Danio rerio: one gene and its partner. The protein of the gene in region 1 purifies or fractionates together with the protein of each later gene. This does not show direct contact. Links are inferred from orthologs where the notes say so. Each region holds a gene or a part of one and is shown on either strand. Other genes may lie near its edges.

The links.
Region 2: the proteins of slc9a6a (region 1) and mblac2 purify together in Homo sapiens (co-immunoprecipitation; 3 studies listed by BioGRID and IntAct, counting the BioPlex papers as one, with this or other methods). This does not show direct contact. The link is inferred for Danio rerio from reciprocal best matches to the Homo sapiens genes SLC9A6 and MBLAC2.

What each region holds. Positions count from the first base shown.
Region 1 is NC_133189.1:36,152,669-36,156,496, forward strand, and holds part of slc9a6a (sodium/hydrogen exchanger 6a precursor), read left to right. Parts: intron 1-107; coding exon 108-221; intron 222-597; coding exon 598-709; intron 710-2,664; coding exon 2,665-2,818; intron 2,819-3,751; coding exon 3,752-3,782; intron 3,783-3,828. UniProt on the Homo sapiens protein: Endosomal Na(+), K(+)/H(+) antiporter. Mediates the electroneutral exchange of endosomal luminal H(+) for a cytosolic Na(+) or K(+).
Region 2 is NC_133180.1:52,720,561-52,725,180, reverse strand, and holds the start of mblac2 (acyl-coenzyme A thioesterase MBLAC2), read left to right. Parts: upstream 1-1,769; coding exon 1,770-2,211; intron 2,212-4,620. UniProt on the Homo sapiens protein: Acyl-CoA thioesterases are a group of enzymes that catalyze the hydrolysis of acyl-CoAs to the free fatty acid and coenzyme A (CoASH), providing the potential to regulate intracellular levels of acyl-CoAs, free fatty acids and CoASH.

The DNA of each region.
Region 1 (3,828 bases):
CTTTTACTGCTTAACTTGTCAGAAGTGAATATTTCTTTTCATTCTGTGAAGTATCTTTGTAACATAAACATCTCACTATGATTTCATGTCACTGTGCTCTCTTACAGTTATTCGAGCTACTGAATTTCTTGGCTGAGAACTTCATATTTTCCTACATGGGCTTGACATTGTTTACCTTCCAGAACCACGTCTTTAACCCGATCTTCATAGTGTGCGCATTTGTATCCTAAAACTTCATCTTTGTGCCTTGGCCAAAAATAGCCAGAAATGAGACAATAGTAAAAATACTCTCAGCAATTGCAAAACATGTGGAAAATCTGATGAAGTACTATTATTAAAAGCCACATATTTGCTCACGTTGGACGGCAGTACTTTGCTTAAGCGCCATCAAGGAAGTGGCTGGCTGTTGTTGAGTGATATGTCCAGGGTGTTACAGCTCATTGTGTTTCCCAGAAATCAATGGCCCAGAACTGTTTTTTTTAAATTAACAGAGTCCTCAGGAAGGGCACAATGTCCTGGCTCCGAAGGGATTGTAGATGCAGTCAGTGCAGTATTAGCTTTATTTCTGCAGTTTCTCCTTGACACTTCTCCTCCCAGCTGGCCGTGTTTCTGGGCAGAGCGGCGAACATCTATCCACTCTCTTTCCTGCTGAATTTGGGCCGTAGAAACAAGATCAGCTCCAACTTCCAGCACATGATGATGTTCGCAGGTTTGTGCCTTGAGATTGGTAATAGCCAGCCAAGATTTAATCTTTGAAGAGAAACAAGGTAAAAGCCAAAAGTCGTAAGGTTAAGTGGGTTAGACTTGAACCAATTTTGTGTGTTTGTTTTTCTTGATCCTGAGTTGATCCTGAAGTTAGCTTCCAAATTCAAATCTGTTTAGTTGATTAATAGTTTGAAGAGTGAAAACTCAATACAAAGCACTTCCATATGAGATCTAAAAATGAAAGTCATTCTCTGACTATTATGAATGAAAGGTAATTTTTTTTTCAATTTGACTTATACGGATGTAGATTAAGAGGATAGTTCAGCCCAGAAAATGTAATTCTTATCAATCATCAGCTAGGTGTGAACTTTTGAAATTACATAAAGTGTGTTTGGCATGCTATCCCTAGAGAGAGCTATGAGCTCATAAGATCCTCAAGCCCTGGACTCCCTCCTGTCAGCAGGGCGAGAGGTGAGTTTGAGCTCTGGTAGATCTTAATGAACTCCCCCGACTTATTCCTGGCTAATGACAGATAAAGGGACGCTAAAGAGAGATATACAGCTTACTAAGAGTTAAGCTATGATGCCAATTTAGAATGTTCAATTTACTTTGGTTGCATGTTTTTGGACTGTGGGAGGAAACTGGGGAACCCGGGAAAAACCAACACGAGCACAGGGAGAACAAGCAAACTCTGCACAGAAATGTGAACTGGTTCAGTAGGGACTTTAACTTGTGACGTTCTTGCTGTGAGGCAACAGTGCTAATCACTGGTCTGCTATGTTACAAAATCTAGAAAGGAGAAGGGAGTAGGGTGGGAGGGATTTCAAGATGAAGATACTGAGGTAAGAAACTCTGGTTATTTATAGTGAATTAGGAATCATCTGATTGGTGAATCATGTGTTAGCTAATGCAGGACCAGCTGTGGACAATCATAAGCACATGATTAGTTTATAAATAAACTTCACTTAGTCTTCCTAAACTTATGTTTTTTTCCAAGATATATTAAATCATGATTTAAATAAAAAGACTTTCCATGTACAGTTGATGTCAGAATTATTAGCCCTCCTGAATTAGCCCCTTTCCCAATTTCAGGTAAACTGAGATATTTTTTTTTTCTAAACATAATAAATGTAATAACTAATTTAACTGATTTATTATATCTTTGCCATCATGACAGGACATAATATTTTACTAGATATTTTTCAAGACACTTCTATACAGCTTAAAGTGACATCTAAATGCTTAACTAGGTTAATTATACAAGTTAGGGTAATTAGGCAAATCATTGTATAATATGGTTTGTTCTGTAGACAATTAAAAAAAAAACATTCTGCTTAAGCGGGCTGATGATTTTGACCTTGAAATGTTTTTTTTTTAATAAAAACTACTTTTATTCTTGCCAAAATAAAGATATAGGCTTTATAAAATAAGACTTTATGCCGAAGAAAGAATATTACTTGAAATGCTGTGAAAATTTTCTTGCTCTGTTGAACATCATTTGGGAAGGATTTGTAAAAAAAAGTAATAATTTGGACTTCAACTGTATGTAGTTTCTGTGTTATTAGTTTCAACTAGTGGAATTACAAAAATAAAGTAGATTTTCACAATTGTTGTGAATTCCCCTTAGGCTTATCATGCTCTTTCTTTCTTTTTCCTACCACATTTTACTGTTTTATGATGAGCTTGGCAGTACAACGTATACTGCATATGGGTCAAAAGTTTAATCATAATAGGTTAGCATCAATATTTAAACTTTTGCGAGAGACAAACCCATGAATTGTCTACTTAAAATAGTCACTAAACAGATAACTAAGTTAGGAAAATTATTTGTGATTGAAAGAAAATCTACATTCTTGACCTTAAACTGGGTCAACAGGTCAGATTTGCAAAAAAACAACATGTATCATATATGTCAACCAATTATGCAGCCTTTTTTGTTATTGCTCTACCTCTCATTAGGTCTTCGTGGTGCCATGACTTTTGCCCTGTCCATCAGGGACACAGCTACATATGCACGGCAGATGATGTTTTCTACCACGCTGCTGGTGGTCTTCTTCACGGTTTGGATCTGCGGTGGAGGCACAACTCAGATGCTGTCCTGTCAGAAAATCCGGTCAGTTCCAATCTCACCTTTAGCCTGAACGACCTTTTCCTGTCATGTAACATACGATGGGAATGAGTAACTCATTAAACGTGGCCTTTGTTCTTGTTTTTGTCCATTTCTGTGCACAGGGAATAATATGTAGACATCCCAAGCCATTTAAAACTTGGCTCTGAACTAATTAGACAGCTAAAATGCTAATTAGAAAGGGATGAAATTCAAACAACTTTTTCTTGTTAATTCCTGGTCAAACCAAGGATGTATGCGTGTGCGTGCGTGCGTGTGTGCGCGTGTGTGTGTGTTTGTGTGTGCGCGTGTGTGTGTAACAGTACTAAAGTCTTCATCACAGCTATGATGTTAATGCTATAAAGGAACAGTATCTTTTTTTTGTTTGTTTATTCGGTTCATCTTAGTTCAGAAATCATGCATGGATACAATGCACCAATCAAGAAATTATCAGGAAAACATAATTATACACTAAATGATTATATAAATAATAAGGTAAAATATCCAATTTGTTAGTTACAACTGCTTGTTAATGCAAGTTTCCATCTTGCCTTGTATCAACGGTTCAGGCTTGTGGTGGTGGTGTAATAGCTTAGGGGATATGCCTTTCTAAGAGCATGTAAAAAGGCTAAAAACTAAAAAGTTGCAAAGGCTACAGTACATCAGCCTGTACTGAATTTAAGAAGAATTTTAATCAACACTGTTAAGGGGTTTGGGTCTATTGATAATGAAAAAAACAGCAGAAAAACACCTGAAGTCTTTCTCCCAAAAGGAACAGAATATTTAGAATTAAAGCAACTAAAGCAAGACAATCAGAATCCTGTTTTAAAGCGCTCAATATTTTAAAGGGCAACATTTTATTATAATTAATAAACAGAACATTAAAGTTGTCTTTATAGTCATAATTATTGTTGTCAACATGTGTTTTGTTTTTGACAGTGTTGGAGTGGACACAGATCATGAGAACTCTGTAAGTGCTTTTGCTCTGGTGTGGACAGGTGAACATTGTCTTATCA
Region 2 (4,620 bases), on another chromosome or scaffold:
GGACAATTTGACCTACCCAATTCACCTGTACCACATGTCTTTGGACTGTTATGGAAACCTGAGCACCCGGAGGAAACCCACGCGAATGCTGGGAGAACATGCAGACTCCATACTGGAATGCCAACCGACCCAGCTGAGGCTTGAACCAGCGACCTTCTTGCTGTGAGGTGACAGCACTACCTACTGTGCCACTGCGTCGCCCAACAAGCAAATATTATGTAATATAATATAACAGTGAGATACATGTCGTTTTAATTGCATAGTGTCAAGATTTGTTAGCTGGCATCTAAGAACCAATAGCTAGGATGTTGTTGACTACTTTTCAATCCATATTGCTTATACATGCTAAACACTATGAGGATGTGAGGACTACACTGTGATGTCACTGGATGGTGATGTCATGAATAGTGATGCAAAACTGTCAATCAATATAATATGTCCCTTTGTAGTATTTTTGAAGGATGTAAACAAAAACAATGGTCTTAGCATATTTCCTGTTTTACATGTTTAACTTGTATAGCTTCCGAGAATCCAAAAAGAGCCACATATTGATAAATAATGTTATGACAGCGGTTTTAACATTATGATATGGTTGAAGTGCCTCTTTTACAGTTATGAAATAGTTTGATAACAAGCAGGAAATGTTCATAAAATACAGAATGAGATTGTTCAGTAATGCACATAAAATAACATTTCAAATATGTTAATTTAGATTTTCTTGAAAGGTGGATTAAAAAAAATGAATTATTGAACTGCTACATGAATTTGAGCAATCATATGTAATTTATTTTCTTTTAAACTATAAAACTTAATTAAATCAATAGTTTCAAGTAGTGTATTTAATTGTTATGCAACTGTAAATGCAAGAACATAAAACAGGGCATAATGCACTGTTTATATAAAGGATGTATTTATTCATTTATTATTTAATTATTTGTAATTTACAGTCATTTATTGTTATTTATTTTTAACAGTATTTTAAATTATGCATTAAGGAAATCTATGCATAATTGTTCTCGAGACAAGCAACTCTGATGTGTTTGGTTTCCTCTTTTTTTTATTTATTTAGTCGTTTAGTTAATTTAGTATATTTATTTATTTTTCCCCAAAATAACTGTTTGGCATTAGTAAACTTAGACTAACAACCCTCGTTTGATCGTCTTTTAATTTCTGAGTTGCCAAAGCACACCTGAATACGATTAATATTAGGCTACTTTACTATTTGAGTAGAATTCACCTCGCAAAAACGCAGCATGTTACAACAATACACTTGTATCTTTGTAAGAAATACGAGATATATGATTGAAACATTGTATTTAACATACAAGATACATTGTAACAGCATTTGGGTAAATAAATGCAGATATAATGTTTTACTTATTTAAATATCCATTACGTTTTACTTATTTAAATCTCCATTACGCTCCGTCGCGGAGCAGCAACAGAAAAAAAAACATATTCAAATAGCAACCACTTACCTTTACAGCTTTCAGACGCATTAAGTACAAATAGGCAATTAATTAAATACCGCTTGTGCTTTATTATTAATATGCATAACTTGGGAGGCGCTAATTTCATCAATGGCCAATAGCATTCTCGATTCTACGGCGCGTCACGTCGTTATGGCTGGTGACGTGTTACGCTTGCGGAACAGGGTGTCAGCGTCCTCCTCTCTGCGGCTGAAGCAGCAAAATTTGAAGCCAGAATTATAGGCTAACAACCATACATCTATCCTCGTATGCAATAACAACATCTTGAATGAATTTGGGATGGCTGCGACCGACTGGTACGCGCACAAGTCGCTGGAAAACGGCGTGTTTTGGATCCAGGAACGGTTTTATGAATCGGGGAACAGGGCGAATATCTGGCTCATTCGCGGTTCTCATCAGGACGTCGTCATAGACACCGGCCTGGGTTTACGGAGCCTGCCTGAATACATCCAAGAGAAATCGCTGCTCGGGGACGACGCGAAGCGTAAAAACCCGCTGTTGGCCATCGGCACACATGTGCATTTTGATCATTCGGGTGGGCTGCATCAGTTTCAACAGGTGGGCGTGCACAAAGCGGAGGTGGACGCTCTGGCCAACGGTGACAACTTCGAGACCGTGACATGGCTCTCTGACCGCGAGATTGTGGAGGTTCCTTCGCCTGGATGGAGAGCCAGGCAATACAGAGTGAAAGCGGTCACACCAACCCATATATTACAAGAAGGTGGGCTTGTAATTACTTGTAACTACTGTGCCAGTGTATGCAACATTATACGTTTTAAGCACATTTTTTATGTGTGCATGCATTTATGCACCGTTGCAGGGTTCAAGGCATAATCTATTACAGTAGTAAAATACACTGAATTGCATGACTTCATTCTGGGCATCCTTATATAATATCTTTTTGAAGAGCTCCAGAGAAAGATCGAAACAAATCAGATCATGCTAAACTCACCAGAGGACATGTCAGTGGTTAGTGAAAACCAAGCCGACTGTCTAATGTGGCTTTATAATCTGCCTGATGGTGGAGAATGCAGCATTATAGTGGACCACTGGCAGAAACCCAGCGGATGCAGAGTAAACCACACATGACCTCCTCCCCGTAATTCTCAGTCAATGGACTACTCTGCAGTGAGTTGTACTCAGTGGTGGAAAAAGTACTGAAAAATCATACTCAAGTAAAAGTACCTTTACTTGCCTTAAAATGCAGTGCAATTAGATTAAAATTATATGTTGTAAATCTTACTCAAAGTATGAGTAAAAAGTAGCTCTTTAAAAAGTACTCAAGAGTAGTGAGTATTATGCCGTGAAAAGCTGATGCGTTTACATGTAATTTGTGTATGTGTGTAAACGTAACATTCTGTAGTGCATCTAGTTATAGCCCAGCAGGTACACAACGCCATAAGACGTTATTATTAGGTTTGACTTAGGTTGTGATGTCAGTTGACCAAAATTCAATGGCTAGCCAGCGTTTAAGGACAACATTATTTCGATGTCCAATAATGACTTCAAGTGATGTTGATATTTGGATGGTTTTTAGGCTGTTAGAAAGTGACCAAAATCCAACATCAAGCCAATATCTTTAACCTTTATCATAATAACATCAAATACTGACATTTAATCATCTGGTATGGCAACCAAAATCCAACATCTGATAGACGTCACAGTGGTAACGTCCACACAACGTCAAGCTGTAACAACATTAGACTTTGATATTTGGTTGGTTTTAGGTTGGACATTGATGTTGACCTGACATTGAGTTCTGAAGTCAACCTGACGACATGTTGACGTCTTGTGCCTGCTAGGTGTTTAAGGCCATTTTGGTCGTCATACAGTAAACATATGTGATCTTTTCATCAGTGACATGCATCTAAACAGTCTCTGGGTCAATGTGTGTAAAAATTTTGGGCATTTTCTTGGACACTTTTAATGCTTCCAAAAAGTTTGCTGTAATTATAAAGCACTCATGTTTTGAAGTAGTTCAGTATGATGCGATTTACCCTCTATGTGCGATTTGAATGGACAGAAATCACAGGACAGATTTTTCTGATCCCCATAAACAAGAAAGAACTAAAGTAGTGACTGCAGGTTGAAGGAAAATAGTGGAGTAAAAATACTGATACAGCACAAAAATTTTACTCAAGGAAAAGAAAAAGTACACGTTTTTAAAACTACTTAGTAAATTACAATTCCTGAGAAAAATTACTCAATTACAGTAATTTGAGTATTTGTAATTAGTTACTTTACACCACTGGTTGTACTATTGCATATGAATAGATCTGTTGTCACTGTCTGTGAACAAATTGCATTTTTAATTTGGCATTGTATTGCATTTTTTTTAAATATCATTGTGATCTAAAGACTTAAGGTTATTCAAGATATTGTAGTGCTATCTCAAGCAAATTGAACTACCAAAAGTGCTGAATACAGTATACATAGTATGTGTGTGTTAATACATATAACATTTTTTAATCAAATTTTATGTTAAATAAATCTATAATAGTATTTCAATAACCCTTAGACCTATCAGCTTGCTGTAATTTCATTGCAATTATTTGAGACCGCTGTGGAAGATTGTGCAGTTCAACATTTAAAATAGGAAATCTAAACAAATAGCTATTGTTTATTTCTTAGCAGATTGAACAAAATAAAAATTATATTATGTTATATTATGACATACTTTGGAAATAAAGAAGACAAAAACATAAATATTTAACAAAATATAAATATAAAAATTATAAATATAAATATAAAAATTATAAATATAAATTATAAATAAACAATGCATAAATATTTTTTAGCTGTTTTCCACTGCATTAAATGAAATCAAGTGGGCCTATTTAATTGTTTTGCAAACTGAGTCTGCTACTGTATACATTTTTAAAAAGTCAATTAAATTGTTCGTTACGATTATTTGACAGAAAATTAAAATCTAATTTTCTTAATAATAATAATTATAATAATAATAATAATAACGTTTTTTATCGTAGCTTTTATTTTGATGGAAAAATGCAAGTAAAAGACTTTTTTATAGCACTTAAATTATGTTTGTGTGAGGCAGCATTTACTGACTTAAATCAGTATTAGCTTACAAGTGAATGTACAGTGCATATGGAAAGTATTTATAGCGCTT